Linked DNA regions of Arabidopsis thaliana. The protein of the gene in region 1 purifies or fractionates together with the protein of each later gene. This does not show direct contact. Each region holds a gene or a part of one and is shown in the gene's direction. Other genes may lie near its edges.

Region 1 (4,005 bases):
CCTTGCCTCTTAAATCTGCTTCTGGTCTTCACCATTTTTGGTTTTGTTGTTTTCTCCTCAGTGTGAAAAGGAATTCCATGTTGGCTGTTTGAAAGAACGTGACATTGCTGATCTCAAGGTTCTTTGCCTATTTAGCTCTTTCATTCCCTCGGGTGAAAACTCAGTATCTATCTTTCTCATTCTTGTTATGTCTTAACAGGAGCTACCTGAAGAAAAATGGTTCTGTTCCCTCGGGTGCGAAGAGATCAACACTACATTGGGCAATCTGATAGTTCGCGGAGAAGAGAAGCTAAGTAACAATATTCTGAATTTTTTAAGGAAGAAGGAACAACCTAATGAAGAAAACTGTCCAGATTATAAAACCACTCCTGACATAAGATGGAGGGTCCTTAGTGGGAAGTTGACCTCTTCAGATGATACCAAAATATTGCTTGCAAAGGCACTTTCCATTCTTCATGTAAGTCAAGACCACATTTCAAACTCTTCTGTCCTTTCTGCTGTTTGTCCCTTCTAACAATTGTATGCTATAGGAACGGTTTGATCCTATCAGTGAATCTGGGACCAAGGGAGATTTGATACCAGCCATGGTGTATGGGTAAGCAATTTTGTATCTTCAATCAGTCGAGTGGATTATTCTTTGTGCTGATCAACAACTTTTGTGTGTGGAACAGAAGGCAAACAAAGGCCCAAGATTTTAGTGGCATGTACTGCACTATGTTGGCTGTGGAGTAAGATTCTTCTTCTTTTTCACTCTAATTTATTTTCTGTGACGCATGTTTCATCTTTTTAATGTTGTCCTTTTTTTGTTTCTTGTGCAGCGAAGTGATTGTTTCAGTGGGAATCTTTAGGGTTTTTGGGTCAGAACTTGCAGAACTCCCTCTGGTTGCTACCAGCAAAGATTGTCAAGGGCAGGTAAACAGTTTTTATCTGGAACCTTGGATGTTTTTTCTTTACAACAGGTGCCTACTCCTATAGAATGGTTAATAAACGACTCACTCTTACTGTCAATCCCATACATTGATAAATTATACAGTGATACATCTAAGCAGACATGTTTTTGTGTCGAATAGCTTAAGAGCAGAACAATGTGTAGCATCTTAATTGCAGAAGGAATTTTTTTGTGTCAAATTGTACCTGGGGGATGAAATGCTTGTGATTGCTCTTTTTTGAGAGTTTGAGAATTTATGTTTTTTTTTTCCTATTGTAGGGTTACTTCCAATGCCTGTTTGCTTGCATCGAGAGGCTACTTGGGTTCCTAAACGTGAAACATATCGTGCTACCAGCAGCAGATGAAGCCAAATCCATATGGACTGACAAATTTGGTTTCACCAAGATGACCGACGAAGAGGTATATATCTATATCCATATAAACTTATATACACTCCCAATGAATCCCATCTCTGATACACACTGTGTTTGTGTGTTATTAGGTGAAAGAATACAGAAAAGACTACTCGGTGATGATCTTTCATGGAACATCTATGTTGAGAAAGAGTGTACCAGCACCGAGTGCCGTGAGTAAAACTGAGGCCAGTAAGGAGGAGTAAGCTCAAGGTTGTCTTTGTTTTTTGGTTTTTGGAAAGTTGGTGAAACGATTGGATGCTCTTTTTTAATCTAATTTCGGGTAGTAGCCACGTTCTTGTACAGGTTTCTCCCCTAACGTGTCTTTCTTTGTAATGGAAACTAGAGAGAAAGATACACAAAAGGGTTAGAGAATTTGGTTTTGGTAGAGACGAAGTAGAGATAAGAGGGGGAAGTAAATGGGGAAGTCTAAAACATTAGGGCATTCTTTTGGGGGTTTAGTCATGATTATCCGAAGCTAATTTTTTTTTGTATATTAGTGCCCAAAAATGAAATTCAATTTTCTGAAATCTTTTTCTTTTTGTCACTGATGTTTATATATCGAACAAAGGAGGTATACAAAGCCGGCGAGTATACGGACACCTGAACTCTGACTATAAGAGGAAGATACTGATGCCTTTAGAAATGAATCTCTGAACCGGGAATTATACCGGTTTGATTAACGTCGAACCGTAATCAAAATTTTAGGGCTCCACTAAGCGGGAAGGAGCGCCTCTAAGAAATTTGAAACTCAAAAAAATCAAAACACCCGTTGAGAAAATGCCCCTATAAATCCCCATAATTACTTCCTTACCACAATGCCTTTTTAATTCCCTTTCGCTTTCCCTCTTCTCCCCTAAAATTCATTTCGTTTCCGATCGCACTTCTTCTCAAGGTCTGCTTTACTTCCCGATTCTTAGATTAGGGTTCGATTTCTGATTTGTTTAGGTTCTCGTCGTTGTTTAGGGTTTAGATTACTGACAGATTGCTCCATTTCTTTTGTTTAGTAAATTTAATAGACGTTTGTTGGGTGATTTAAGAAGATGGGTCAGATCCAGTACTCCGACAAATATTTCGATGATACTTTCGAATACAGGTGATTCTCAGTTTGATTCTCCTCCCATTTTAATGGAGTTCTCTCTCACGTTTTAGTTTCAGTCTAATCGCGTGGTCTTTTATTTTTCTCTCAGGCACGTTGTACTTCCTCCGGAAGTTGCTAAGCTTTTACCTAAGAATCGTATTCTTTCGGAAGTAAGTTAAAAATTAGGGCTTTCCTCTATTCGCTGTATAACCCTTGAATCATCGTAGGCTAAGAGATTTACATGTTTAAGAAATTAAGTTAGGAAATTGAAGTTTGGACTTTTGAGAGTCGAAGAAATTGAAGTTTCTGCTTAGGAATTTGAAGTTTTGCTTCTCATTAACTTGTTTATTAACTTTAGGTTGTGTAATTGTCAGCAGTGACGAAGATAGTTTAGATATTTTTTTGTGTTATCAGTCAATTCTCAGTTTTCTGATTTTGAAGTTAACAGTTTTCTTGTTTTACAATCTGGTTTTGTAGAGTGAATGGAGAGCCATCGGAGTGCAGCAAAGTCGTGGATGGGTTCATTACGCGATTCATCGTCCTGAGCCACATATCATGCTCTTTAGGAGGCCTCTTAACTACCAGCAGGAGCACCAAGCTCAGATTGCTAAGTAGAAGAATTATGCAAAATTCTCCCTAATCTCTGTTTATGTCTCTCGTAAACGAGGTTTTAAAATACTACTCTGATGTTTTGTTCCTGTAGTTTTTTTTATTGTGTTCATGAATTCTCTTCAGTGGAGAATCATGTGAGTTTGGTAGAACAACTTTTAATGTTATGTTAAGTCTGGTCCTTTGCTAGACTTTGGTTGGATCCACGTTTGAACTTCTTCATGGTTAAGAATGAAGACGTTATTTCTCATGCTTATGTGCTTGTTTCATCATTTCAACCTCTTTTTATTGCTCCTCTTAGAGTCTTAAGTCCATAACTATGAACAACAAACAAGGTATCATTACAATGCCAATCTGAAGGTCTAATCACGATTCTCATGGCGATACTGATTCAAAGAAACTCATATTGTGTCTCAATCACCACATTCACCAAACACCATATATTCCTTACTGTACTACTATTAGTGTATTGAAACCAGGAGATTCAGAGCCATTTTTATAAATTAACTAGATATGTATCTTATACCTAGTGTGAAGCACTGATTGTTGGAATTAAATGAAATTTCGAGAAAATGAACGAGTTCGTAGTTTGATGGTAAATAACAAGGTCTTTGGTCAAAGCAACCAAACAAGTTGTTGAATTTAATTAGAACCAAACCAATCCACCCAATTTCAATTCATTTTGGTAACTAACCGGTTTATAATCATTCATACCCAATCGGCGTCTTCTAAAGAATTTCAAAACTCTAAAAAGTTAATCAAACACCCCTCTATTTCCTCATAATTACATATCTACCCCAAACCACTTTATTCTCCTTTCACTATCTTCCCCAAATTTCAAACGATCAGATTACAGATTCTTCAATTCCTCTTTCCCTTCTCCTCCATTTCCTGATTAAGGCTTCACATCTCTGAGAGAGAAATGGGTCAGATCCAATACTCCGAGAAATACTTCGATGACACTTTCGAATACA
Region 2 (4,420 bases), on another chromosome or scaffold:
AATTGAAGGTAATTCTCGAGAAACTCATTGCCTACCACTTTGATTCCTGACTGATGCTATCACATGTTTTCTTGACCATTACATAGAATAGATGTCGCTAAACACAGTCTTGTATTTTGTATTTCTAGTCAGCTGTTCGCGATTTGAAATCTCAACTCAAGCCAGCGTCAATGCAGGTATATAGTTCTCCCAATGTTTTGATTCTGGAATAATTTATACAATTGTGCCAACAATACAAATCGTGAAAAAAGTTAGCTGTTGAAGTAACTTGGACTTTTCTAGGCATAGTCCGCTTTTTATGCCGTAGTGTACCTTTTATGACGGTCATCCTCGACCTTGATGCATGTAGAGGGAAACCTTTTCCTTGCCTTTTAGATTTCAGTCTGAATACGATGATAAGCGCATGTTTCTTGTAAACCTTTACCTGGCATCTGAATTATTAACAAGTCTGAATAGAAGAAATGGCTATAAATTTTGAATTGCAATGGTCATTTAGCAGCTTGTCATGATCAGATAGCAGTGTAGATTATTTATTCTTTGTTTACCTTTGTAGGCGAGGAGGTTGTTACTGGATCCAGCAATTCATGAAGAATTTTCACGTCTGAAGGTCTGCACCTACTCGTTTCTATTTACCCTTAGACTACTTTTTCATAAGGATGTATTTGTCGTAATATATCCTTAGATAATCCAAACTGTATCTACGGAACAAAATTCCGCTTTCGTTATGAATGGCCTGAAAGAATAATTCCTTAATAACTGATAGCTGACACTGTCGTAGTAGATACAGTTGAGGACGAACATTCCCAACTTTTTGTTAATGTACATTTGTTGCAGTTAAGTAAAGAGTAGATGAAGTTTGATTCCATGTTTCTATTATGCAGAATCTAGTAGAGGAAAAAGACAAGAAGATCAAGGAACTCCAGGACAACATTGCAGCAGTTACTTTTACTCCTCAAAGCAAGAATGGAAAGATGCTTATGGCAAAGTGCAGAACCCTGCAAGAGGAAAATGAGGAGATTGGGCACCAAGCTGCCGAAGGAAAGGTATAGTTTGTTCTACTCTCAGTCTTCAATCTGGAATTATATGAATTATATAGTAAAGCAGTAGTCTTCTTCAACCTTTGTAAAACATGATTCCCTGAAAAGGGTAAAGAAATTGATGCTTGCCTATGTTCATGTGGAATGGCAGATTCATGAACTAGCAATAAAGCTTGCAATGCAGAAGTCTCAAAACGCGGAACTTAGAAGTCAATTTGAAGGTAAGTCATATGTTGATATTAAGTTATAGCAAAGATTTTTGTAGAGTTTGCAATTTGGATTTGAGGATTTTTGTGGAATGCAGGACTGTACAAACACATGGAGGAATTAACTAATGATGTTGAGAGATCAAATGAAACGGTGTTGATCCTTTTCTCTTATCTCTTAATTCCTCAAGATTTTTCTTAAAACGGAAGAATGATTATGGTTTTGTTGGAAATATGTGACTTTGATAAATCTCAGGTGATAATATTGCAAGAGAAACTGGAAGAGAAAGAGAAGGAGATAGAGAGAGTAAAGAAAGGACTGGAAATTGTGTCTGAGCTAGTAGGTGACAAGAAAGATGAAGTTGATGAAATTGATGAAGATGCAAAAGAAGAAATTGCTGGTGGAGAATAGGAATTTGTAGCTTTCAAAAAATGTTTTGTACATTTTGAAGTTCAAAATCACATTTCTTCATTCGTTATCTGTTTCATGAAACAGAAAGTTCTAATCTTCATCTTCTATTAATATGTTTTAATTCGCACCATTGGTGTTTCGATATCGATATGTGGCTTCCCGATATAACTCGTGAAGAATTTGAACTCGTCAACTCACGCAAATCATCTGAGTAGATATCAGATTAGACCAAAATAAGTGAGTCCAATTAGTTTTCCCCAAAAACATTCACAGAGGTCACGACTTTAGGTTAATCTGTTGCAGTTGTCACGAACGAATTCAAAATCCAAAGGAGCGGGAAAAACGAAGTGACGTGGAAGTATCTTAGCGAAAGCATCTCTCTCTCTCTCTCTCACAATCCATCATCTTCATTAATCTGATCAAATAATAGGGTTAATCAAAAGTCCAGAAACCAACACAGTTCAATTTTACGAAACCTCTCAGAAATGGAGAAGTACGAGAAGCTAGAGAAGGTCGGAGAAGGAACATACGGGAAAGTCTACAAAGCGATGGAGAAAGGAACTGGTAAGCTTGTTGCTCTGAAGAAAACTCGTCTCGAGATGGACGAAGAAGGTATTCCACCAACTGCTCTTCGTGAGATCTCGCTTCTCCAGATGTTATCAACATCGATCTATGTTGTTCGATTACTCTGCGTCGAACATGTTCATCAACCATCAACCAAATCTCAATCTACCAAATCCAATCTCTATCTCGTTTTCGAGTATCTCGATACTGATCTTAAGAAATTCATCGATTCGTATAGGAAAGGACCTAATCCTAAGCCTCTTGAGCCTTTTTTGATTCAGAAGTTGATGTTTCAGCTTTGTAAAGGTGTTGCGCATTGTCATAGTCATGGTGTGCTTCACCGTGATCTTAAACCGCAGAATCTTCTTCTGGTGAAAGATAAAGAGCTTCTTAAGATTGCTGATTTGGGTCTTGGTCGTGCTTTTACTGTTCCTCTTAAGTCTTATACGCATGAGATTGTTACTCTTTGGTATAGAGCTCCTGAAGTTCTTCTTGGATCTACTCATTATTCAACTGGTGTTGACATGTGGTCTGTTGGTTGTATCTTTGGTTAGTAGTCTCAATTATGCTTTTATGTTTTTGAATTCGTCTCTCTGCGATGTGATTTTGTATTTATGCTGTTTCAATCTTTGAATTTGTATAGCTGAGATGGTTCGGAGGCAAGCTCTTTTCCCTGGTGATTCTGAGTTTCAGCAATTGCTTCATATCTTCAGGTATTTTGAATTTACCTTCCATTACTTCTTCTGGTTTTGTCCTGTTTCAGTGTGAATTGCATCACTGAATGATATGCTAGCTTACCAATTGAGAACAACTGATTCTATATAGTCCAGGTTTCTTTGACCAATTATTCAATGGATTTAGCATTCTTGAATAGAGACTATGATCTTTACTAATGGTTCCTATTTGGTTCATGGAGGTTGCTAGGAACACCAACTGAGCAGCAATGGCCGGGTGTTTCCACACTGCGTGACTGGCATGTTTACCCTAAGTGGGAGCCGCAAGACTTAACTCTTGCTGTTCCTTCTCTTTCACCTCAAGGAGTTGATCTTCTCACGGTAAATAACTCCCTGATGACCATAGCTTTGTTGCAAAGTTGCTCTAATATTGTTACCTCTTGCTTCTGCTTCCCTCTTTTTTTCCTAAGCTGAATTGCTTGGTTAAATCTTTCTGATTGAGCTTATGTTTGTACAATTGCAGAAAATGCTCAAGTACAATCCAGCCGAAAGAATTTCAGCAAAAACAGCACTTGATCACCCATATTTTGACAGCCTTGACAAGTCTCAGTTCTGAAGTTCATTGCTGTATCTGTTGTCATCGTCTTGGTGAATTTAAACATTTGATCTATCTTTGTTTCCGACACATTAGTGTCTTATGTTTGGTTTAGAGATTTGTAGTCTTTCAGAAGAAACTGGTAAAGCTTGTATTCTCAAGTGAATGTAAAACACAATGGTGTGGTAGCAATGAGATGATTTTCTATCAATCGCTTGTTTTTGTGTAATCATACAAAGTTGATGCTCAACTATCTGAATCAAGTCAATTTTGAAAATTAAAGTGAGACCTTACAGGTGGAATAAAGGGTCTTTCATAGAATTGTCAAAACCCAAATGTTACGTACAATGGTATTAGTGTACACAACTGGCATTCTGACGCGCACACTTGCCCACAAATGGTTTACAACACAGATGGCTGCTCAAAGACACTAAGTTAAAAAGATTTATCGCTACACACAATTGAAGGAAACCAAATGATACATTCGTAGTAGTAGTAGTAGCAGCTAACGATGACGATGTATGTGAAATCAATTGGACCACACATGAACAAGGCCGTGTCTGTTTCCTGTGTATATCTCATTGCGTTCTTCGTCGTAGAAAAGAGCGGTTATGTCTTCCAAAGCTTCAGCTACAGCGTTTCTTCTTTGCTTTGAGTTCTTTCCCATACAATTACTGCTGCTGCTCTCATCATCTTTTGGAGGCCCACTGCTTGGTGTTATTTTAGCTAAGCATTTCCCAGTCAATATATTGCTGATATTGATTGATCCCGCTGGATCATCCCACAAAACACCAATAATCAATATCCATCAATGAGATTTGTTAGGTTATAATATCTGGTTAATATTATCTTGAGGGGTTATTTTTCTTACCATTTCCTTCTATCCACTGATCTTCGGTATCTGCTTTGCAGTACGAGATGATCAGATCTTG

Evidence for each region.
Region 2: the proteins of CKS2 (region 1) and CDKB1;1 purify together in Arabidopsis thaliana (affinity purification with mass spectrometry; 2 studies listed by BioGRID). This does not show direct contact.

What each region holds. Positions count from the first base shown.
Region 1 is NC_003071.7:11,911,492-11,915,496, reverse strand, and holds CKS2 (CDK-subunit 2), read left to right. Parts: upstream 1-2,071; 5' UTR 2,072-2,236; intron 2,237-2,348; 5' UTR 2,349-2,384; coding exon 2,385-2,437; intron 2,438-2,531; coding exon 2,532-2,592; intron 2,593-2,899; coding exon 2,900-3,037; 3' UTR 3,038-3,346; downstream 3,347-4,005. Other genes in the region: AT2G27980 (Acyl-CoA N-acyltransferase with RING/FYVE/PHD-type zinc finger domain-containing protein), read left to right, coding at 62-118, 200-457, 531-595, 672-728, 819-912, 1,208-1,348, 1,431-1,547; CKS1 (cyclin-dependent kinase-subunit 1), read left to right, coding at 3,954-4,005. UniProt on the Arabidopsis thaliana protein: Binds to the catalytic subunit of the cyclin dependent kinases and is essential for their biological function.
Region 2 is NC_003074.8:20,057,742-20,062,161, forward strand, and holds CDKB1;1 (cyclin-dependent kinase B1;1), read left to right. Parts: upstream 1-1,929; 5' UTR 1,930-2,140; coding exon 2,141-2,768; intron 2,769-2,862; coding exon 2,863-2,932; intron 2,933-3,135; coding exon 3,136-3,274; intron 3,275-3,416; coding exon 3,417-3,509; 3' UTR 3,510-3,747; downstream 3,748-4,420. Other genes in the region: FIP37 (FKBP12 interacting protein 37), read left to right, coding at 1-8, 129-176, 554-607, 882-1,043, 1,189-1,258, 1,342-1,397, 1,500-1,655; AT3G54190 (Transducin/WD40 repeat-like superfamily protein), read right to left, coding at 4,018-4,259, 4,360-4,420. UniProt on the Arabidopsis thaliana protein: May control G2/M (mitosis) phase progression. Plays a role in regulating seedling growth in darkness via regulation of hypocotyl cell elongation and cotyledon cell development. Plays a role in stomatal development. Required to suppress endoreduplication.